Callithrix jacchus: one gene and its partners. The protein of the gene in region 1 purifies or fractionates together with the protein of each later gene. This does not show direct contact. Links are inferred from orthologs where the notes say so. Each region holds a gene or a part of one and is shown in the gene's direction. Other genes may lie near its edges. The genes, in order: ZC3H18, SSRP1, FNBP4, NCBP2, RBBP6 and VIRMA.

Region 1 (3,500 bases):
CCTGGGTAACGAGCGAAACTCCGTCTCAAAAAATAAAATAAAATAAAAAGAGAGGGGAGGGTTTCACATGTTTTCCAGGCTACACTCCAACTCTTGGGCTCAAATGATCCTCCCACCTCAGCCTCCCAAGTAGCTGGGATTACAGGCACATGCCACCACCCCTGGCTTAGGACTCACTTTTTCATAATTCTGCCCAGCAGTCTGGATAGTAACTGGATAGTGTAGAAAACTGAAAAGTGAGTCGTTTCAGAACTGTCTCCTTTCAAGTGAATTAAAATGGATTGGTTGGTTTGTAAATCTATGTTGCTAGCCATTTAGGGTTTTTAATTTTTTTTTACTTTTGACACAGAGTTTCACTCCTGTTGCCCAGGCCAGAGTGCAGTGGCACAATCTTGGCTCACTGAAACCTCTGCCTCCTGGTTTCAAGCGATTCTCCTGCTTCAGCTTCTCAAACAGCTGGGATTACAGGCACCCAGCACCACGCCCATCTAATTTTTTGTATTTTTGGTAGAGACAGGGTTTCACAATGTTGACCAGGCTGATCTTGAACTCCTAACCTCAGGTGATCCACCCGCCTTGGCCTGCCAGTGCTGGGATTACAGGCATGAGCCACCATGCCCGGCCCATTTAGTTTTTATAAAGTGATTACTTTTTAATTATTTGGGGTTTTTGGAGGGGTTTTTTGGTTTTTATTTGACACAGGGTCTCACCCTGTCTCCCAGGCTGAAGTGCAGCCTCGACCTCCTAGGCTCCAGTGATCCTCCCACCTCAGCCTCCCAGGTAGCTACGACTACATACAGGTGCCTTCCTATCACACCAAGCTAATTTTTGTATTTTTTTGTAGCGACGGGGTTTCGCTGTTCAGGAACTCCTGGACTCAAGTGATCTGTCCACCTCAGCCTCCCAAAGTGCTGAGATAACAGGCATGAGCCACTGCACCTGGCCAGTTTTGTCCTAATGTGTACTTAATTGTAGTGATTTCCATTAACAGCAGAAAAGAAAAAACATGTTTAACTGTAGGTTTAGATACCAACTCTTGATACTATGTGTCTTTAAACAGGTTGTCCTATTAAAAATGTAAATGTAAAAGGTGCATATGTTTATGTTTAAAGGGCACCAAAGGGGATTCTGAGAGGCCGTCAGAGCCCAGCCTGTGAGAAGTATGTTCAGTAACAGAACAGGCTCCAGACCTGGAAACTGGCAAAAGCTGGCCTAGCTTCCTGCTTCAGAGTGACTCCAGAAAAATGGTCAGACATGGGCCTGCAGTTTTGCTCTCTCATTCCATGAGACAGTTTATCTTGAATTTCAAAAGTAAATACTCTTAAGAATTCAGACAGCTGTCCCTTGCAGTCCGTATCTTGTTGCTCACTTTATGTGAACTTGTGTGTGCTGCCCTTGAGTGGGGAAGGGCTAGGCCGGGCCGTGTCTCATTCTGCCACTTCTCGTTTTGTGTGATTGCTAAAAACGGGAGGCACTTAACATCCAGGTTAGCCCAGCAGAGTCTCACCTCATGGAGTGGAGTTGTGACCTGTGTTTCTCTGTAGAGTGGAGTGTGGGACTTGGGGCAGGGTCATGTGGGGCCGAGCAAGGCCAGAAAAGTGAGGACAGGGTTCGTTTACCGTTTTGCTAAAGGCTGTAAATCTGTGTTCTCTCTCTTTTACAGAACCGTGGGTACTGATGGATGTGGCCGAGAGCCCTGAACGGGATCCTCGCTCTCCAGAGGATGAAGAGCAGCCACAGGGGCTCTCGGATGATGACATTCTGAGGGACAGCGGGTCCGATCAGGATTTGGACGGAGTGGGGGTGCGGGCTTCTGATTTGGAGGATGAGGAAAGTGCAGCCAGGGGGCCAGGCCAGGAGGAGGAAGAGAATCGCTCCGACGAGGAGGACCAGACAAGTGAACCTAAATCTCAAGACCAGGACTCAGAGGTGAATGAGCTGAGCCAGGGCCCGACCAGCTCCCCATGCGAGGAGGAGGGGGACGAAGGGGAGGAAGACCGGACAAGCGACCTTAGGGATGAGGCCTCGTCAGTCACCAGGGAACTGGATGAGCATGAGTTAGACTACGACGAGGAGGTCCCCGAGGAGCCGGCTCCCACCGTCCAGGAGGATGAGGCCGAGAAAGCTGGGGCCGAGGATGATGAAGAGAAGGGTGAAGGTGCTCCTGGGGAGGCGGGGCAGGCTGGTGTTCAGAGTCTGGGAGAAAAGGAATCCCTGGAGGCTGCCAAGGAGAAAAAAAAAGAGGATGACGACGGAGAAATTGATGACGGGGAAATAGACGTGAGTATGATGGAGCAGAGCGTCGCAGGGTGTCTGCCCGGCAGCCTGACGCCGGCCGTTGCGGGGAAGGAGGGACTCTGCATGGGACTGACGTGGTGATTTCTTACTAGAGATGGTGGCGGGACAGGTGTGCAGGAGAATGAGAGGCTTGTTTGGGGGCCGGTCCCAAAGTGATGGGAAAGGAAGACCCGGAAATGAAGTCTGAGCGTCGGCAGCTCCAGAAACCGGCAGCGGGGTTTCCGTGGCCCCTGGCTGGCCGGCTGCTGGCATGGCTTGGGCCGCAGTAAAAGGCCAAGTGCCCAGTGTTTTTCGGTTCCGGGGTGGAGAGGTAATGTTTTCCCCGTCTCTGCTGTCTTTGAGTGATACTCAAGTGAGTGTTCAACCAGAAACGGCATGGGTTTCCCCCCTTGTCATGTGTTTGGACCGAAAAGAATGAGGAAAGTTTCCATCTGTTCTGGATGTTCTTGTCGGCATTTTAGTGTTGGCCCTAGAGCCTGTCCTCTGGTGAGGGCACCTGCCGGACCACGGCTCTTTGGGCGCATTCCTGAAAAGACTGGTGGAGGCGGGTCCATGGGACTGTGTGTCATAGCGCCTCCGTTTCTGACAAAGCCAGCACACGTCTTTGTACATTGAAGTAATCTGGCTTTCAGGTTGAGGGGAAGGTACTGTTACCTGTGATCTGAGATATGGGTAGGTGGGGTTCTCCTCGCAGTTGATCCCGTTGGAAAAGTTATGAGTGTTTTGGGAGAAACAGCCCAAAGTCCTCCTGAGCGATAGTTTCCAGAGCTATTGAACTGAAAGGAACTGAGCAAGGGACAGAGCAGCTGGACTGAGCTGGTTTTGTTGTTTTTTATTTAAGGATCGCAGGGAAGGGGAGTCATTGCAGTGAAAGGTGCAGTTTGATGTTCTGGGTTGAGGCAGGTAAAGGTTGTCAGTTAGATGTGTAACCACTGGTTTGCCTTTAGTGCCATGTTTTTGGGGTTTTTTTTGAGACTGAGTCTGCTCTGTCAACCAGGCTGGAGAGCTGTGGTGCCATCTCAGCTCCCCGCAGCCTCCATCCCCCAGGTTCAAGCAATTCGCCTGCCACCATGCCTGGCTAACTTCTGTATTTTTAGTAGAGACGGGGTTTTGCCATATTGGCCAGACTTGTTTCCAACTCCTGACCTGGGGTGATCCGCCCATCTCAGCCTCCACGGTGCTGGGTCACAGGCATGAGCCGC
Region 2 (4,000 bases), on another chromosome or scaffold:
CTTACCCCAGGATTGAGTTAGCAAGCTGGTGTACTGATTGTCAGGGAAATCTTGAATTTACATATTCTGTACTAATATCTTCACACAGGACACATCATCAATCATTCTGAACATACAGTCATGGTGATTACGACGGAAGAGAACTGGACTGGTGGTAAGGAAGTCTGGGTCCTGGCTTTGTTGCCAACTCACTGAGACCCTGGACAACTCAAGTCCCTTTGGGTCTCAGTTTTCCTATCAGTAAAAGAAGGTTGGGGTAGAAAAACTAAAGCATCTTTTCCAGGTCTGGTTTTCTCCTATGTTGCAAAATGCACTCTGGGACTATAGGAGGAGGCCTGGCTTCCGCAACCCCAGGATGATGTGGTTTCAAATCAGTTCCGGCTCCGAGGTGAATCTGACACCAGGACTTGAACTGGATACAGCCATTTGCCAGCCTCTTGAGGGAACCTATAAATTGCGGTTAGGGATGTGAAGATTTTGGGTATAGACAGTGAACTTGACAGTTCAGCCAGAAAGCAGTGCACTTACTATGACACCATCATCTACATTCTCTTCCCAGCCAGTGGGAGAGATTGTTTCTTTCCACAACTCTTAAATACTTTTCTTCTTGTCCCATAGACTCCTTTCCATGACCCACAAACTATTTTGCAGACAGAGGGGCACGCATCTTTCCAATACACACCCCCACCCCCACCCCTGTACTAAGTCTGATACGATAAAATCACACAATTTTTCTTTAGTATCCAGTCTCCATTGAAGAAGTGTCCGTAGTTTCTAAAGAGCCCTACACACATTTTCGAAGCAGATTACACCCGGGTGAGAGAGACTTCACTGCAACCACATTTCTCTCAGGTCCTCCAGCGTCGCCGACGCTCTATGCGACGGTCTCGCAGGCGGGCCTGGCTTGTGTCTCTCTAGCCGGCTCGTCCTCTCTGTGGCATGTGCTTGGCTTCCGGTGGCGGGACGCGGGGCCGCGCACGCGGGAAAAGCTTTCCCGGTGTCCCCCCCCAACCCCCGCCCCCCCGCCCCCCGCTTCCCCCCAACGCGCCCACCTCCCACGCCCGGGCCCTCGCGAGGTTGCAGCCTGAGTAGGTAGGTGGTGGTCGTCCCCCGGTCTCAGGAAGGCACGAGCCCCGCTACCCCGCGGGACGCTCGACATGGACCATTCCGCATTCGAAACCGCGGGGAGCGGGCGAATCCATTCTGTAGGGCGGGGGTGAACCGTGGGCCTGGGGCTGCGGGGTGGTGGGAACGGTGCTAGGGAAACCCTGCACTCTAAGCTGTGTTGGGGCGCGTGCGAGGTGCGGGCTCCGGGCAGACCCTGGGGTTCCGCTGCTCGTTGCCATGGCTCCCGCTGGAGCGGCCAGAGTGGGTGTCGGGTTGGGTGTCAGCGCTGTTCCAGGCCCGATTCTCCACCTGGGCCTGGGCCTGAACCCTCGGGCACTGCAGCGCCCGCCTATGGGTTCCCAGGCAGAGGAAATCCTGAGACATCTCAGGCGCAGATGGGGGTTGCTACCTGGCTTCATCGGCGAGTACAGCGAGGTGTTTGTTGTCTTTTATGCTTATCTGTCTTCCTCTTGAACTCAGATTCCCTACCTGCTGAGCATCCGCACACCCACTCAGGAGTTGGGGCCCAGCTCCCAGTTTACTCGGTTTCCCTTGTGCAGCCTAGGGCTCTGCCCAGGCCACCACAGGCAGGGGTCGACATGGCAGAGACACTGGAGTTCAACGACGTCTATCAAGAGGTGAAAGGCTCCATGGTGAGAACGGCTCACACAGTTGATACAAGTAGATAGAAGGAAGGAGGGTAGAGTTTTTGTCCGTTAACGAGAGCTTGCTTTGGGAATGTTATTTTGGAAAAAGAAGACTCAGTATAATGTGTTCCTAGTATTTTCCCCAACACAAGGCAATAGAGAGATGGTCTCGGGAGTTATAGGGACCATATATGCTGTTCAGTTCCCAATTCCTGTTTTACAAATGAGGAAACTGAGAATCTGTAAGGGATCTAGGTACCAGAGCCTGGTTTAGAATCTAGACTCCTTGGCCTCCTCAGCTGTGGCAGCTGCATTTGTCATCTGGCCAGCGCCCTCACAGCTGGAATGTGTGTTGGGTAGAACTGTACCCAGGACATGCTTTGTACTGTCCCCATGCATCTGAGCCTGTTTTTCTTACAGAATGATGGTCGACTGAGGTTGAGCCGCCAGGGTATCATCTTCAAGAATAGCAAGACCGGCAAAGTGGACAACATCCAGGCTGGGGAGCTAACAGAAGGCATCTGGCGCCGTGTAGCTCTGGGCCATGGACTTAAACTGCTTACAAAGAATGGCCATGTCTACAAGTATGATGGCTTCCGAGAATCGGTGAGATGTCCCTTGGCTATAAACCCCTTACAAACCTCCTTTTTACTGCGTCATCTTCTTTTAGTCTTCTAAAGACTTGCAGTTCCCTTCCTCGTGTAACCCTGTGATTGCCAGGCCATCAGGCAGTCGGCGTTCAGCCTTGAGTGTTGAGTTGTGAACTTTTGTGTGAACACCTTCACTCCGGAAGGTTTTCTGCTGTTTTGATTTAGATGGTAGTTTCCGCCTGTGGCTTTTATCAAGGTTCAGAATCTTAGCTTGATGTCTTTTGTGTTATTTTTTTTTGTGACAGGGTCTTGCTCTGTTGCCTAGGCTGGAGTGCAGTGATTTAATCTCGGCTCACTGCGGCCTCTCCCTCCTGGGCTTAAGCAATCCTTCCACCTCAGCCTCCTGAGTAACTGGTACCACAGGCACATGCCACCATGCCCAGCTATTTTTTCACAATTTTTGGTAGAAATGGGATTTCACCACATTACCCAGTCTGGTCTTGAGCTCTCAGACTTGAGGGATGGCCCATCCTGACCTCCCAAAGGGTTGAGATTACAGGCATGAGCCATTGCACCTAGCCAGCTTGATAAAGTGTGGGTTTTGTTTTTCATTTTGAGCTGCTTGAGTTAAAGGCTTTATTTGATTTTAATTTCCACTTTCATTAAAGTAATGCCTATACAAAGCTTTTATAAAGTCAGATGGCACTGTGAAACCCATAACCAGGAATGTCAGATCCAGTGGCCAGAAGCAAGATCTTTGAACAATTTTTTTTTTGGTAAAGGAGTTTTGCTTTTGTTGCCCAGGCTAAGTGCAATCGTGTGATTTCAGCTCACCAAAACCTCCACCTCCCGGGCTTAAGTGATTCAGCCTCCCGAGTAGCTGGGATTACAGGTGCCCACCACCACACCCAGCTAATTTTGTGTTTTTAGTAGAGACAGGGTTTCTCCATGTTGGTCAGGCTGGTCTAGAACTCCCGACCTCAGGTGATCCACCCTCCTCAGCCTCCCAAAATGCTGGGATTACAGGCGTGAGCCACCACACCAGGCCTCAACAGTCTTTTAAACAATGTTAGGGCTGGGTTGCTTAGTAGCATGGGTTTCTCATACAGCCTATTTTGGGGCAATTTCTCAGAAATAGATCATCGCAGGACATTCAAGTCTGTGTTAAGGCCACCAAGGTTTACTGGGATTGTGCTTTCTTTCCTCCACCCACAGGAGTTTGAGAAACTCTCTGATTTCTTCAAAACTCACTATCGCCTTGAGTTAATGGAGAAGGACCTTTGTGTGAAGGGCTGGAACTGGGGGACAGTGAAATTTGGTGGTGAGTCCTGGGGAGGACTGAGGTTTGGGGAAGAAGATAGCCTGAAGGGTGTCAGCCTTTGACTTGTTCTGCTCTTTTCCCTCTGCCAGTGTCTCTGGTTTCCTATCTGTTTGCACGTTCATCATGAGTACTGATTATTGGGTACCTACAGTGTACTGGGCACTGTGCCGGGAGTTGGATTACAGTGTGAACAGACTCGCCCCGGTTTCCCATCTCTGTGGACCTCGGGTTGGTGGGAATGTTGCTTATGCAGGGGAGCCTGCGGCTTGATAAGCCCTTTCCTCACAGGGCAGCTGCTTTCCTTTGACATTGGTGACCAGCCAGTCTTCGAGATA
Region 3 (3,500 bases), on another chromosome or scaffold:
ACTGCATTTCTCATTGAATCAATGTAATATTTTCCTTCTACTTGTCCATAAGTATGGACCCAAAGGACAAGACAGGTATAACACAGATGGGGAAGGTGCCAACTGTAAGGTTCATAAGTTTATATTTCCATGGACGTCATTTCTGAATTGAGTTGTTGAATATTTTAGTTACATCAGTATAGAATAGATGCCTGTGGGGCATATTTTTTTTTTTTTTTTTGGAAGGAGCCACTCCCTGCTGCTTGACACCGCATTCTATACTATTTTGTACATTGTGCTAGGTTCCTGTAGATGTTTGTCTTACTGACCAGTTGACCGTTTCTATGAATATAAGCTAGGAAGTTTGTGTCTTGCTTTTTTCCTGATTCTTATCTGTTTTCATAGGTTCTCTTTGTAAAGAACCCTTTTCTGGTCAAGTTTCTTCTTCATCACTCATGCCATTTACTCCATTCTGGACCCTCCTTCAGTCAAATGTTCCGGTGCTTCAACCTCCATTACCCTTGGAAATGCCACCACCCCCACCTCCACCTCCAGAATCACCTCCACCCCCTCCTCCACCACCTCCTCCTGTGGAGGATGGTGAGATCCAGGAGGTAGAGATGGAGGATGAGGGAAGTGAGGAGCCCCCTGCCCCAGGAACAGAGGAGGATACACCTTTGAAACCTTCAGCACAAACCACAGTTGTAACTACCCAGGTGAGTAATGTCCTTTGGCATTCTGAATGATTGTGAGGATGGAGCATGCTTGACACTGTATTTTATTTTAGAAGTGTATGTTTTAAAGGCTGGGCACGGTGTCTCATGCCTATAGTCCTAGTGCTTTTGACAGGTCAAGGCGGGATGATTGCTTAAACCCAGGAGATTGCAGTGAGTCATGATCTCACCACTGCAGCTTGTGCAACAGAACGAGACCCTGTCTCAAAAAAGGAGACGGGGTGGCATATGTTTAACCAGGGCCTTCAGCCACTGATCACAAATTTTTGTGTTTCAGAGTTCAGTGGATTCTACCATCTCTAGCTCTCCTTCCACTAAAGGGACAAAGAGGAAAGCTACAGAAATTAGTACTGCAGTAGTTCAGAGGTCAGCTACCATTGGCAGTTCTCCAGTTCTCTATAGCCAGTCAGCTATAGCTACAGGTAATTATGATTAAAGCATGGTTTTTCCTCAATGTATTGTTTCTTTTTTTTCCCAGCATTAGATGCTATAAAAACTAAAGAAATGTTAAGGTTCTTTGCAAAGACTGTTTGCATTTATGTTACTTCAAAAAAAAAAAAAAAAAACCACTTTTAACAGTTTAATTGGCCATGCATAGTGACTCACATCTATAATCTCAGCACTTTGGAAAGCTGAGGCCAGTGGATTGCTTGAGCCCAGGAGTTGGAGACCAGCCTGGGCAATACGACAAAAGCCTGTCTACAAAAAATACAAAAATTAGTCAGGCATGGTGGTTCGCACCTGTAGTCCCAGCTACTTGGGAGACTGAGGTGGGAGGATCACTTGAGCCCTGGAGGTTGTGGCTGCAATGAACTGTGATCACACTGCTGCACTCCATCCAGTCTGGGCGATAGAGCAAGAACCTGTCTCAAAAACAGAAAAAATGGCCAGGCGCGGTGGCTCAAGCCTGTAATCCCAGCACTTTGGGAGGCCAAGGCGGGTGGATCACAAGGTCAAGAGATCAAGACCATCCTGGTCAACATGGTGAAACCCCCTCTCTCCTCTCCCAAAAATACAGAAAATTAGCTGGGCCTGGTGGCATGTGCCTGTAATCCCAGCTACTCGGGAGGCTGAGGCAGGAGAATTGCCTGAACCCAGGAGGCGGAGGTTGCAGTGAGCCGAGGTCGTGCCATTGCACTCCAGCCTGGGTAACGAGCGAAACTCTGTCTCAAAAACAAAAACAAAAAATGTTCGGCATATATCCTTCCAGATTGTCTTTTTTTTGAGACGGAGTTTCACTGTTGTTACCCAGGCTGGAGTGCAATGGCGCGATCTCGGCTCACCGCAACCTCCGCCTCCTGGGTTCAGGCAATTCTCCTGCCTCAGCCTCCCGAGTAGCTGGGACTACAGGCACGTACCACCATGCCCAGCTAATTTTTGTATTTTTAGTAGAGACGGGGTTTCATCTTGTTGACCAGGATGGTCTCGATCTCTTGACCTCGTGATCCACCCGCCTCGGCCTCCCAAAGTGCTGGGATTACAGGCGTGAGCCACCGTGCCCGGCCCAGATTGTCTTTTGTACATTTATGTATATCGATGATTTTGATGTTTAGGTAGTGTAATGCCAAGATATTCAAAATTAATATATTTTGCTACTAGCAAATATGGCTGTATTTTTTAGATAAGGGTGTATTGGATTCATTGGATCTGTTCTTGTCATGATGTCCTTTTTATAGTATCATTTTATGTTTTCTGTGTTAGGTCTCCAGGCAGCAGGGATTGGAAACCAGGCCACAGGAATTGGACATCAGACAATACCAGTTAGCCATCCAACAGCAGGAATGGGTCATCAGGCCAGAGGAATGAGCCTGCAGTCAAATTACCTTGGACTAGCAGCAGCACCTGCAATTATGAGTTATGCAGAATGTTCTGTCCCAATTGGAGTGACTGCTCCCTCATTGCAGCCAGTCCAGGCCCGAGGTGCTGTGCCTACCACTGCCATTATAGAACCACCACCACCTCCACCTCCTCCTCCTCCACCACCACCACCAGCTCCCAAAATGCCACCACCTGAAAAGACAAAAAAAGGAAAGAAAGACAAGGTATAATAAACCTCTTTTTAAAAATTTTATTGAAGTTACATTCACGTAACATAAAATTAACCATTTTCAGGCCAGGCACTTTTGCTGACGCTTGTAATCCCAGCACTTTGCTAGGCTGAGGCAGGTGGATCACTTGAGGTCAGGAGTTAGAGACCAGCTTGGTCAAGATAGTGAAAACCTGTCTCTACTAAAAATACAAAAATTAGCTGGTCCTGGTGGCACATGCCTATAATTCCAGCTACTCAGGAGGCTGAGGCAGGAGAATTCATTTGAACATAGGAGGCAGAGGTTGCAGTGAGCCAGGATTATGCCACTGCACTCCAACCTGGGCAACAGAGCAAGACTCCATCTCAAATTAAAAAAAAATTAACCATTTTCAGTTTTAGTATATTCACAATATTATATAACCACCATCTCTGTCTAGTTACATTTTTATCACCCCAAAAGAATAAATACCCTGTATCCATTAAGCAGTCATTCTCCATTATCTCCTCCCAACACTTAGGAACTACCACACCAATCTGCTGTGTCTGGATTTACCGATTCTGAATACTTCATGTAAATACATGAAGTACGTGACCTTTTGGGCCTGGCTTCTTTCACTTAGCATAATGTTCTTGAGGTTCATCTGTGTAGCATGTATCAGTATGCTAAGTAATAGTGTACTCTATGTATATGTGTATACCACAATTTACCATTCAATAGTTGATGGACATTTGGATTGTTTCTACCTTCTGGCTGTTAG
Region 4 (4,093 bases), on another chromosome or scaffold:
CAGGATAAATGCTGCAGAGCTGTGTTAAGGACTTAAGCCCAGCAGTCAAATGCCTCTGCCCACATCCTACTCTGCAAGGCTTTGGGCAACTTAAGCAGCAGCCTCTGTTTCTGTTTCAGTGGCTCTTGTTTGTAATCCCAGCACTTTGGGAGGCTGAGGCAGGAGGATCAGTTGGGCTCGAGTTTGAGACCAGCCGAGGCAACACAATGAGACTACCCCATCTCTGCTTCCTCATGTGAATGTGGTTTTAAGGAGATGACACAAAAACACACACACAGAATGCTATTAGCAAGTCGCAGCACAGAATAAATACTCATTTCATAAAGTATGTGTTTATTATTACCATAGGCCTACAGTCCCCAGTATTCTTCATCCATCTTGCCTGAGAAGTATCACACTCATGCCTATTAATCAGCTCACACATTTAATCAAAGGATTTTGGCAGCTGTAGGGTGGTCTTTTTATCCATATCGTCCCTGGAATTAAGTGTCCTGCTATACCCGTGCAGATTCAGCAGCATCTGTCAAGAGTTTCAATCCCATTTGCAGAGGAAAGGCTCTGTGGCTTCGGCCGGTGGCTCTCCATAGGTGCTGTGACTGGACCCAGCCCATCTTCACCTCTGTTAGGCTTCGGGGTCTTTCTCCACACTGTGCCTTGTCAAATCACAAGACTTCAACGGAGACGGCGGTCTGGCCTAGGCTCTTCTGAGTGGGATATCCGCAGGCCAAAAATCGGAGTCAGGATTCGAGGCCGTGCGCAGTGCCCGGAATGACCCCTCAACGCCGAGGCCAGAATAGAGCCCAGAAGCGGCCTCAGCCCCGCGCAGCCCAGGCTTAAATGTTTGCGCCCGGGCCCCTCTGGCTACCTGGTGGTGGCCCTGAGCGGCCCCGGAGGCCGCGGCGTAGCTCCTGGGTGAAAGCGTCTTTGAATCGCTCAACGCGGCGGCCCAGGGAGCCCGCGGGCCCAGCCGCGAGGTCCCGCAGGCGGCGGGCCGCGTCTTGGCCCCGCAGCTGGGCCTGGAGCAGTGCGAAGGCTGTGAGCTGCGCCGCACGTCGGATAGGCCACGACTCCGACAGACGATCCACTAGCTGCGGGCTGTGCAGCAAGGCGGCCAGCAGCCGTCGGAGCACCATCCTCTCCCGGCGCCCGAAAACCGCAGCGCGCCGCCCTTACCTTCTGCTCCGCGGGCCCGACCCGACGCCTTTTGTGCTCGCGCAGCTTGATGACGATACTGTCGCCCGGATTGGGTCCAATAAGATGCGCGTCTCCGCCCGTCTCCGCTTCCGCCACGGCAGTCGCCGCCTCGTGTCGGGAGTTGTCGCATCCTCGTCCGCTTCTCTGCGCTATGTCGGGTGGCCTCCTGAAGGCGCTGCGCAGCGACTCCTACGTGGAGCTGAGCCAGTACCGGGACCAGCACTTCCGGGTGAGGGAGGCCCGGCCGCGAGAGGGGAAGGCCCTGGGCCAGAACGCTGAGAAACGGTTTGCTCTTGTCTCGTGTTGCATCCCATTATGCTGGAGTCCCCAAACGCCAAGTGGGGCCTCGGTGCCTGCTGGGGAGGCAGGGAATGGGTGCTGCAAGGGCGTTTGGATATCGATGAAGCCACTTTCTCTGGAAGATTGAGAATTTGAGGCTCGCTTTCCCGTTCCCTAGCAGGCACTCCCGGTACCCCGGCCAGCGCCGAGAGGTTTGAGTGGTAGTAGTAGTGGCTCCCGTTTCCACGGTTTGCCTCGGGAAGGTGACTACGTAACAAGGGGGAGGGGTGTCCTAACTCCCTGAGTCTGTAGAGGCGCCTTCCTGATGCAGACACGGGGCTTTTTACTTTGTTTTTTAAATCAGCGAAGCAGTGCCTTTCCGCGATTCGGGCCCCCTCACTGGGAGGGTGGTCCTACGGAAACTGTACGCGGTGCGTGGGAGACACGAGTGGAGTCCTCACTCCGCCCTCGGGGAACCTTCGGAGTAGGAGGTGGACCCGTCAAGCTGGGCACGTTGAGGGTGTAAAGATGGGAGAGTTGCTGCATTTCAGAAGAGGGAAATTTTTAGTCCCAACTATATCGAATACTGTATCACTATATTTTGTGAAAAAGGGGGAGGCTGCAGATATTCAGAGTAGGCTTTTCAGTATCAACAAAGGCAGGGATGGAATACGGTTGGGGCTAGCGGGACTCTTTAACCCAGTTATTTAGTAAATGTTTATTGAGTGCTGTTGCTAAAGCCTTGTACTAAACCCTAGAGGGAGAGGGAAGACAGATTTTTGCACTCGACGAGCTCATAATTCCCCGTAGTATGGATTATAAATGGAGGGAAGTAATCAGAATCTAAGCAGAAGTGAGTTAAGACAGAAGTAGTGAAGATTCAGAAAAGCGGGGGGAATCCCCATGTGACTGGGAAATGAAGGGCTGTACATAGCAGAGGGTAGGTGTGGAGAATGTGTGAAATGTGTTACTAAAGTAGGGAAAAGGAAATTTTGTTTGACAGCAAATTGGGGAAGCTCTTAAATTTATTCAGCCGAGCATGGTGGCTCACGCCTGTAATCCCAGAACTTGGGGAGTCAGAGGTGGCCAGATCATGACGTCAACAGATCGAGATCATCCTGGCCAACATGATGAAACCCCGTCTCTACTCAAAATACAAAAAATTAGCTGGGCGTGGTGGGGCGCGCCTGTAGTCCCAGCTACTCCGGAGGCTGAAAGGAGAATGCTTGAACCCAGGAGGCGGAGGTTGCAGTGACCTGAGATCGCGCCACTGCACTCCAGCTTGGGCAACACAGCGAGACTCCATCTCAAAAAAAAAAAATTTTTAAGGACGGGCACGACACGGTGGCGCACACGTGTAATCCCAGCACTTTGGGAGGCCAGGACAGGTGGATAACGAGGTCAGGAGTTCAAGACCAGCCCGGCCAAGATGGTGAAACCCCATCTCTACTAAAAATACAAAAATTAGCTGGGCATGGTGGCGGTTGCCTGTAATCCTGGCTACTTGGGAGGCTGGGGCAGGAGAGTCGCTTGGAACCCAGAAGGCGGTTGCAGTGAGTTGAGATCATGCCACTGCACTCCAGCCTGGGTGACAGAATGAGACTATGTCTTAAAATGATTTATTATTATTTATGCATTCCAGCCTGGGCGACAGAGTGAGAGTATGTCTCAAATAAAACAAGACTTATTTATTTTTTGAGACAGAGACTAGCTCTATTGCTTCGGCTGAAGTGCAGTGGCACAATCACGATTCTGCAGCCTCAGCATCCTAAGCCCAAGTGATCCTCCCACCTCAGCCTCTGGAGAAGCTGGGACCACAGGTTCGCACCACTACATATGGCTTTTTGTAGAGACAGGTCTCCCTGCAGTGTTCAGGCTAGTCTCAAACTCGGGGACTCAAGCAATCTACCTGCCTGGGCTTCCCAAAGTGTTGGGATTACAGATATGAACCACTGATCCCGGCTGGTCAGGTTTTTAGATGCTTTAGTGCCAGGCATGATTTGCACTTCTACCACTTTTACAGCTATTACTTCAGACAATTCCACATCCTAACCATTTTTAACTTCAATGTAAAATGAAAACTGAAAACTTTTGACTTTGTCTATTATTCATCTCTTCAGTCTAAAACCTAGAGCTTTATTTAGATAATAATACCATACTGTCATGTGGAATTTCTAGCATTCTGTGAATGGAATCCATATTCATATAGTTAAGTACTTGTACCGTAGTTATCTTAAACTGTAGGCTATTTATTTGGACCTTACTTATGTGTGAGGAAAGTAGAAAAAGAAGATGCCCCATCCATGTTAACAAATCAGTGACAGCAGTAAAATGACAGGAATTTACTTTGTCTAATGTCTCATAGTTCTAGAAACCTCATTTTAACATAGAATGACTATTGTTCTGTGGATTTTTTTTTTTTTTTTTTTGAGATGGAGTTTTGCTTCTGAGGCCCAGGCTGGAGTGCAATGGCGCCATCTCGGCTCATTGCAGCCTCCACCTCCCAGGTTTAAGCAATTCTCCTGCCTCAGCCTCCCAAGTAGCTGGGATTACAGGTGCCCACCACCATGCCCAGCTAATTTTTTTTGTATTTTTAGTAGAGATGGGGCATCACCATGTT
Region 5 (3,500 bases), on another chromosome or scaffold:
TAAATCCTTTCTAAAATACAAAATCTTAGAAGTTTTTTTCTACTTTCATGTCAGTTAATGAGTAGGATTAGAATTACAGAAAAGTTATTTTAAATATGGCATCAGTTATTTTCCTGGTAGGTTTAACTTTTTTATCCTTAATTTGGATGATAAAGTTTGGTTTGAGTACATAAATACATAATAAGATTAAATCTACCAAACAAAAATTTGTTGTTTTAAGTCATGTCTTATTCCACAGGATATGTTTTTTCCACCCTGAAATAAAAAGAATTTTTATTTTCTCTGTGGGATATTTTATGGCATTGAAAATCAGCAGACTTACTTAATATCTTTTTATTTATATAATTTCTTCTGATTATATACTCCAATTGAAAACTGATATATCCTTAAAGTATGAGTTACTAGCAGGATTATATCAGTAGAATGAACACAGGATTTAGAAACAGGTAGACTTGAGTTTTGAATCCCATATTCTCTATTTTCTAGCTGTGTAACAGTGGTCATGTGGTTTTACTCCCTAACATCCATTTCCTTGTTTGGAATTGGAATGACACTACCTACCTTAACATGTAAAATGGCTTCATAGTGCCCAGCAGACAAAAGGGCTCTTTTCCTTGTATATAACAGTAAGTTCACAGAGTAATTTATAGAACGCTAATTAAAATGTAATATTGTGTAAAGTAATCTATTTTCAGGTCTAATTACTGTTATAATACTGTTAATTGGGGGGAAAGTTAGTTTTAAGTAAATATAATGTTTGCTCACCTCTCCTCTATCCGAAATAAGTTTAAGAATTGGGGAGTAGGAAAAAGTTTCGAGTAGTTAAAATCAGTGTTTTAACATCTGTGCATGGAAAGGTCATGTATTATACCCATGGAGAAATACTTGAGCTTATTTTATTTTTTTTCTCTCATACAGTTCCAACAAACTTGGCTATCTGGTTTCTCCACCACAACAAATCAGAAGAGGGGAGAGGAGCTGCTACAGGTAGGTATGCTAAAAATCTTGGAAAATAATTATCTTATTATATATATATCACCAAAAAATACATAGAACATCAAAGAAATTAAAGCACAGCAGTGGCAGGAAGGAAGGAGGTCATTATCACTCTTAAGTCCTCAACAGTTATCCTCAAAGAGGCCTAGAAAAGAATAAATTACATATAGTATCTTAAATGATGGTTTTTAAGACATTTTTAATGTTCCTTCCCAGTGATTACTTTCTCTCTATCAGCAAACAGCAGAGTATTGTCTTGTATTTACCCTCTTGGAAGTAGAAAAAAGTCATTAAGACTCAGACAATATCTAAGATACCAGTTTAAGATGAAAGTTAACAAGCTCAGCTCCCAACTGTCAAAAAGAATTACATTTATTTATCTTCTAGACTCCACTGTCCCAATCATCTCCCACCTTCTCTTCCAAAAGAAGAGACAGGAGATTGTTAGAGGCTCCTGCTCTGGGCAGGTACAAGCATTATTAATCCAAGAAGTAAGAGTGTTACCATCTAGGTCAGGGGTCCCCAACCCTGGGCCACAGACTGGTACCCATACTTGGCCTGTTAGGAACCAGGCCACACAGCAGGAGGTGAGCAGCAGGTGAGCAAGCTTTACCACCTGAGTTCCACCTCCTTTCAGATGAGCAGTGGCATTAAGATTGTCTGTCATAGGAGCATGAACCCTGTTGTGAACTGCACACGTGAAGGATCTAGTTTACGCACTCCTTATGAAAATCTAACTAATGCCTGATGATCTGAGGTGGAACAGTTTCATCCCAAAATCATCCCCGCATCCCACTCCTGTCCCTGGAGAAATTGTCTTCCACAAAACAGGTCACTGGTGCCAAAAAGGTTGGGAACTGCTGGTCTAGATCATAATCACCACCAGAATAAAGAGGCTTCCAAAACTTTATAAAAAGAGTTTTGGCCAAGCATGGTGGCTCATGCTGGTAATTTGAGACTTTGGGAGGCTGAAGAGGGAGGATTGCTTGAAGCCTGAAGTTCAAGATTAGCCTGAGCAACATAGCAAGACTCTGTCTCTACAAAAAAAAAAGTTAAAAATCAGCCAGGCATGGTGGGGTGCACCTGTGGTCCCAGCTACCTGGAAGGCTGAGGCAGGAGGATCACTTGAGCTTAGGAGGTCCAGGCTACAGTGAGCTATAACCGCACCACTGCACTTTAGCCTGGGGGGTGGAGTGAGACCCTTTGTCAAAAAAAGAGAGAAAATTAGAGATACCTCCTAGTGCTTCAGTGCTAAACTTATTAAAAAGTTTACTCTGTCATTACTGGATCATATTTTAAAAGAAAGGTAATATTTACTAATTCATGGCTCTCTGAACAAAATGCTTAAAATCTAAAGCCCTGCTACTGCTGTTGTGTACCAGTGATTTATAATTTAAAGAACCTGTAGTTTAACATAAGTGAGCCCATTCTGTTTCTTTGGTGAGGCACAAATTAGAAACTTTAGCCCAACACTGTTATTTTTACTTAAGCCTTTGAGAGAAAGCATTGATATTTTCATTGTTAATTATACAAGTTAAAACTAGAATTTATTCTGCTTTATATGATCTTCACCCACCTTCTACCTCAAAAAAGAGGTTACAGGAGGTGGTTTTCCTTCATTGAAATTTTTGGGGCCGGGTGCATTGGCTCTCGCCTGTAATCCCAGCACTTTGGGAAGCCGAGGCGGGCAGATTACGTAGATCAGGATTTTGAAACCAGCCTGATGAAACCCTGTCTCTACTAAAAATACAAATAATTAGCTGGGGATGGTGGCACACGCCTGGAGTCCCAGCTACTTTGGGAGGCTGAGGCAGGAGAATTGGTTGAACCCTGGAGATGGAGGTTGCAGTGAGCCAAGATCAGACCACCACACCCCAGCCTGGGCAACAGAGCAAGACTCTGTCTCAAAAAAATAAAAAAATAAATGAATAAGTAAGCTTTTGGGTAGAACTAGGTCATAGCAGCATTAACCTGTCAGTTCCTTCAAAAGACAGTTTAGGAAGTAATGGGTCGTAATTAGTGGAGTGATAATCAATCTGGAATTCATGAAAGAGAACTTCTAAATACAATATTTCCATGTAGAGAAAGTCCCATAAACTTGCATCATCTCAGTCACTACATGACCTTAAAAATTATGTTTTAGAGTTATTTTTACAAATAAATGGTACTTATGATTCTATACTAGTTGAATAGTTGTATTCCACTGTTTTTAAATTTGAAAATAATTATGGATAGAAAAGATAAGCTTACTTGTCTCAGGTGACTTTAGTTTGAAGAAGTAATATCTTGGAATTTATTTCTCCAGAAGTATAAACCGTGGGCGACACCACAGCGAAAGATCACAGAGGACTCAAGGCCCGTCACTACCTGCAACTCCAGTCTTTGTACCTGTTCCACCACCTCCTTTGTATCCGCCTCCTCCCCATACACTTCCTCTCCCTCCGGGTGTTCCTCCTCCACAGTTTTCTCCTCAGTTTCCTCCTGGACAGCCACCACCTGCTGGG
Region 6 (3,500 bases), on another chromosome or scaffold:
TTTTAAACTCTTAACATTTCTTTATCTTTGTTCTAGTTGGTTCTTTTCAATGAGGTTGTACATTTCAATTCTTTTTATTTACATAATATTGCATATAGTACAACATATGCCAGAGATAAATAATCTTGATAAATTCATTTAGCTCTAGGGCCTTAATCATGTTTTAAATTTACTTAATAAATATAAAATATTATATGTTCTTAACTTGGAGCTCATATTTTTAACTAATTCCTTGTCTGGAATTTTTTGTTGATCTGATGGGTACTAAGAAATGAAACATTTTGTTCATTTTTATTTTTAAAGAATATTGATAACTTGATGACCCCAGAAGGAGTTGGCCTTACCACTGCCTTACGTGTTCTCTGTAATATTGCATGCCCACCACCTCCTGTTGAAGGTAATGTGACTACTATATTTTTAAAAAAATACTATTCTTAAGGCTAGAATAAATATCATTTATTAAATATTTAGTTTAATAATTATTAAATGTTATTTATAATATTTAAGTGTAATTAAATATAAACATTTGTCATAAATATTTATAAAAATTTATTATAAATATAAAAACCATAAATAATTAAATATCATTTATTAAATATTCAGTTTAATAATTAATAATTCTTAATCTTAACATATAAATAATTAGTTTTGTTTCTTTTCCTTATCCTATATAAAGGTCAACAGAAAGACCTGAAATGGAATCTTGCCGTAATTCAGCTTTTTTCTGCTGAAGGAATGGACACATTTATTCGAGTTCTGCAAAAATTGAACAGTATTCTGACTCAGCCTTGGAGGCTCCATGTCAACATGGGGACTACCCTTCACAGAGTTACTACTATTTCAATGGCTCGCTGCACCCTCACACTTCTTAAAACTATGTTAACGGAACTCCTGAGAGGTGGATCCTTTGAGTTTAAGGACATGCGTGTTCCTTCAGCGCTTGTTACTTTACATATGCTCCTGTGCTCTATCCCCCTCTCAGGTCGTTTGGATAGTGATGAACAGAAAATTCAGAATGATATCATTGATATTTTACTGACTTTTACACAAGGAGTTAATGAAAAACTCACAATCTCAGAAGAGACTCTGGCCAATAATACTTGGTCTTTAATGTTAAAAGAAGTTCTTTCTTCAATCTTGAAGGTTCCTGAAGGATTTTTTTCTGGACTCATACTCCTTTCAGAGCTGCTGCCTCTTCCATTGCCCATGCAAACAACTCAGGTATCACTTCAATATAACATGCATCTTATAAATGACTGCGTAACACTTTTTTTAAAAGCCAGTGATTGTGTTAAAAAACAAAAACCCTCATCTCCCTTCCTCCCAAAAAGACATAAAATAACTGGATGAGGGGGAGATAAAACTGAAGCAAGTTGGTCGTTGAGGAAATACGGGGGTAACATTTTAAGTGAATTTTTGTTAAAGTGAGTTTTATTATGCTGTTATGTATGTTTGTACTTACATATTTCTGTTATTTTAAATCCTTTCCCCCCCTTATGTGTTAGAATTTGCCAATAACTGGGTTGCTTCACCAATGGACTCTACTCAACTAACTGCTCACCTGAGAACAATAAGATTTTTTAGACTCATTGAATTCAAGCAAATGTTTAACTGTATAATAGAAAATTGAATGTTTTAAGCATGCAGTAAAAATGTTCTTTTCATAACAGTTCTTCCTGAACAGTTTTTGTGACTATAAATAAATATTTAAAAAATCTACGTACACAACATTATACTTTTTTAACAGGTTATTGAGCCACATGATATATCAGTGGCACTCAACACCCGAAAATTGTGGAGCATGCACCTTCATGTTCAAGCAAAGTTGCTCCAAGAAATAGTTCGCTCTTTCTCTGGCACAACCTGCCAGCCCATTCAACATATGTTACGGCGTATTTGTGTTCAATTGTGTGACCTTGCCTCACCAACTGCACTTCTGATTATGAGAACTGTGTTGGATTTGATTGTAGAAGACTTGCAAAGGTATTTTCATTTTGCATTAAAAATTTTTTCCTCAAGTTATTTTTGACACATATATTTTTTCCCTTATAATTTGGAAACTAGGGTTTGGAATGCCCAGCTAACATATATACATGTAAATATACACATATACCTACATATACACACATATTTATATATGAATACTTATAGACTTTTTAAATTAGAAAGCTTTATTTCATCATTTCATGTGCAAGCTATCTTGACAATCTTGTTTTTTGGGTTTTTAAATGGTGAATTCTAAAGAAGTACTCTGATTTAAGAAAATATATTTTTGGAAACCTGAATTTATAAAATTTTTGCAGTAATTGTAAAATTCCAGAGAAGTTGTCATTATATCCAAGGAATTAAATGTTTTATGCAAAATTTGTGTAAGTTGATGTGTATTGAGAAATAAATAGTAGTTAAACAATGCCTTAAGATCAAAAACATTGTTTACTAAATGTATTGATTTTATTTCAGCACTTCAGAAGATAAAGAAAAACAGTATACTAGCCAAACCACCAGGTTGCTTGCTCTTCTTGATGCTCTGGCTTCACACAAAGCTTGTAAATTAGCTATTTTGCATCTAATTAATGGAACTATTAAAGGTGATGAAAGATATGCAGAGATATTCCAGGATCTTTTAGCTTTGGTGCGGTCTCCTGGAGACAGTGTTATTCGCCAACAGTGTGTTGAATATATCACATCCATTTTGCAGTCTCTCTGTGATCAGGTATTTATACTTATTTTATAGTATCTCTCTCTCTCTCTCTCTCTCTCTCTCTCTGTCTGTCTCTCTGTGTGTGTGCATTTAAGTATCTTTTTTTTTTTGTATTTAAGTATCTTAATGTAAGTCTTGGCTTTCATCTGTATTTTATTATTCCTGCTATTCATGGGTTTCTCTGAAGAGCTTTATTTTTTTCCTTCAAAACCTTGGGTAATTGTTTTATGTGCCACTGTTTCTGTATTTTTTAGGGTCTAATTAATTTTCCTTGTAATTACATTATATTCCAAGTCATTCTTTTCTTTTTTTTTGAGATGGAGTCTCGTTCTGTCACCCAGGCTGGAGTGCAATGGTGGGATCTCAGCCCACTGCAACCGCCATCCGCTGGGTTCAAGTGATTCTCCTGCCTCAGCTTCCCAAGTAGCTGAGATTACAGGCACACAACACCATGCCTGGTAAATTTTTGTATTTTTTAGTTGAGATGATGTTTCACCATGTCGGTCAGGCTGGTCTCGAACTCCTGACCTCAGGTGATCACCTGCCTTGGCCTCCCAAAGTGCTGAGATTATAGGTGTGAGCCACCACGACTGGTCACAACAAGTCATTCTTAAATTTTGTAGCTTTGTGATTGGTTGAATTAATATGTTCGCTGTTAGGGAAACTTTTGAAGACTACTACACTTTTAGTGTGTTTCAGACTACTTTGCTTGTAGATGTTGGCTAACAGTAGTAGTATTTTTTCCTGTTGTCTATGTTATTGACTTCCAGTTTATGGTTTCATGGGTTGATGAGAGTTG

What was found.
Region 2: the proteins of ZC3H18 (region 1) and SSRP1 purify together in Homo sapiens (affinity purification with mass spectrometry; 3 studies listed by BioGRID and IntAct, with this or other methods). This does not show direct contact. The link is inferred for Callithrix jacchus from reciprocal best matches to the Homo sapiens genes ZC3H18 and SSRP1.
Region 3: the proteins of ZC3H18 (region 1) and FNBP4 purify together in Homo sapiens (affinity purification with mass spectrometry; 3 studies listed by BioGRID and IntAct, counting the BioPlex papers as one, with this or other methods). This does not show direct contact. The link is inferred for Callithrix jacchus from reciprocal best matches to the Homo sapiens genes ZC3H18 and FNBP4.
Region 4: the proteins of ZC3H18 (region 1) and NCBP2 purify together in Homo sapiens (co-immunoprecipitation; 3 studies listed by BioGRID and IntAct, with this or other methods). This does not show direct contact. The link is inferred for Callithrix jacchus from reciprocal best matches to the Homo sapiens genes ZC3H18 and NCBP2.
Region 5: the proteins of ZC3H18 (region 1) and RBBP6 purify together in Homo sapiens (affinity purification with mass spectrometry; 3 studies listed by BioGRID and IntAct, counting the BioPlex papers as one, with this or other methods). This does not show direct contact. The link is inferred for Callithrix jacchus from reciprocal best matches to the Homo sapiens genes ZC3H18 and RBBP6.
Region 6: the proteins of ZC3H18 (region 1) and VIRMA purify together in Homo sapiens (affinity purification with mass spectrometry; 3 studies listed by BioGRID and IntAct, counting the BioPlex papers as one, with this or other methods). This does not show direct contact. The link is inferred for Callithrix jacchus from reciprocal best matches to the Homo sapiens genes ZC3H18 and VIRMA.

Annotation. Positions count from the first base shown.
Region 1 is NC_133521.1:46,237,006-46,240,505, forward strand, and holds part of ZC3H18 (zinc finger CCCH domain-containing protein 18), read left to right. Parts: intron 1-1,663; 5' UTR 1,664-1,677; coding exon 1,678-2,280; intron 2,281-3,500.
Region 2 is NC_133511.1:114,905,004-114,909,003, reverse strand, and holds the start of SSRP1 (FACT complex subunit SSRP1), read left to right. Parts: upstream 1-1,200; 5' UTR 1,201-1,344; coding exon 1,345-1,542; intron 1,543-1,587; exon of another isoform or gene 1,588-1,706; coding exon of another isoform or gene 1,707-1,760; intron 1,761-2,174; coding exon 2,175-2,360; intron 2,361-3,559; coding exon 3,560-3,665; intron 3,666-3,953; coding exon 3,954-4,000. UniProt on the Homo sapiens protein: Component of the FACT complex, a general chromatin factor that acts to reorganize nucleosomes. The FACT complex is involved in multiple processes that require DNA as a template such as mRNA elongation, DNA replication and DNA repair.
Region 3 is NC_133511.1:112,784,962-112,788,461, reverse strand, and holds part of FNBP4 (formin-binding protein 4), read left to right. Parts: intron 1-384; coding exon 385-695; intron 696-990; coding exon 991-1,135; intron 1,136-2,414; coding exon 2,415-2,755; intron 2,756-3,500.
Region 4 is NC_133516.1:25,207,203-25,211,295, forward strand, and holds the start of NCBP2 (nuclear cap-binding protein subunit 2), read left to right. Parts: upstream 1-1,293; 5' UTR 1,294-1,345; coding exon 1,346-1,423; exon of another isoform or gene 1,424-1,479; intron 1,480-4,093. Other genes in the region: protein NCBP2AS2, read right to left, coding at 834-1,133. UniProt on the Homo sapiens protein: Component of the cap-binding complex (CBC), which binds co-transcriptionally to the 5' cap of pre-mRNAs and is involved in various processes such as pre-mRNA splicing, translation regulation, nonsense-mediated mRNA decay, RNA-mediated gene silencing (RNAi) by microRNAs (miRNAs) and mRNA export.
Region 5 is NC_133513.1:25,151,349-25,154,848, forward strand, and holds part of RBBP6 (E3 ubiquitin-protein ligase RBBP6), read left to right. Parts: intron 1-918; coding exon 919-987; intron 988-3,301; coding exon 3,302-3,500. UniProt on the Homo sapiens protein: E3 ubiquitin-protein ligase which promotes ubiquitination of YBX1, leading to its degradation by the proteasome.
Region 6 is NC_133517.1:32,689,745-32,693,244, forward strand, and holds part of VIRMA (protein virilizer homolog), read left to right. Parts: intron 1-303; coding exon 304-397; intron 398-676; coding exon 677-1,221; intron 1,222-1,747; coding exon 1,748-1,983; intron 1,984-2,460; coding exon 2,461-2,713; intron 2,714-3,500. UniProt on the Homo sapiens protein: Associated component of the WMM complex, a complex that mediates N6-methyladenosine (m6A) methylation of RNAs, a modification that plays a role in the efficiency of mRNA splicing and RNA processing.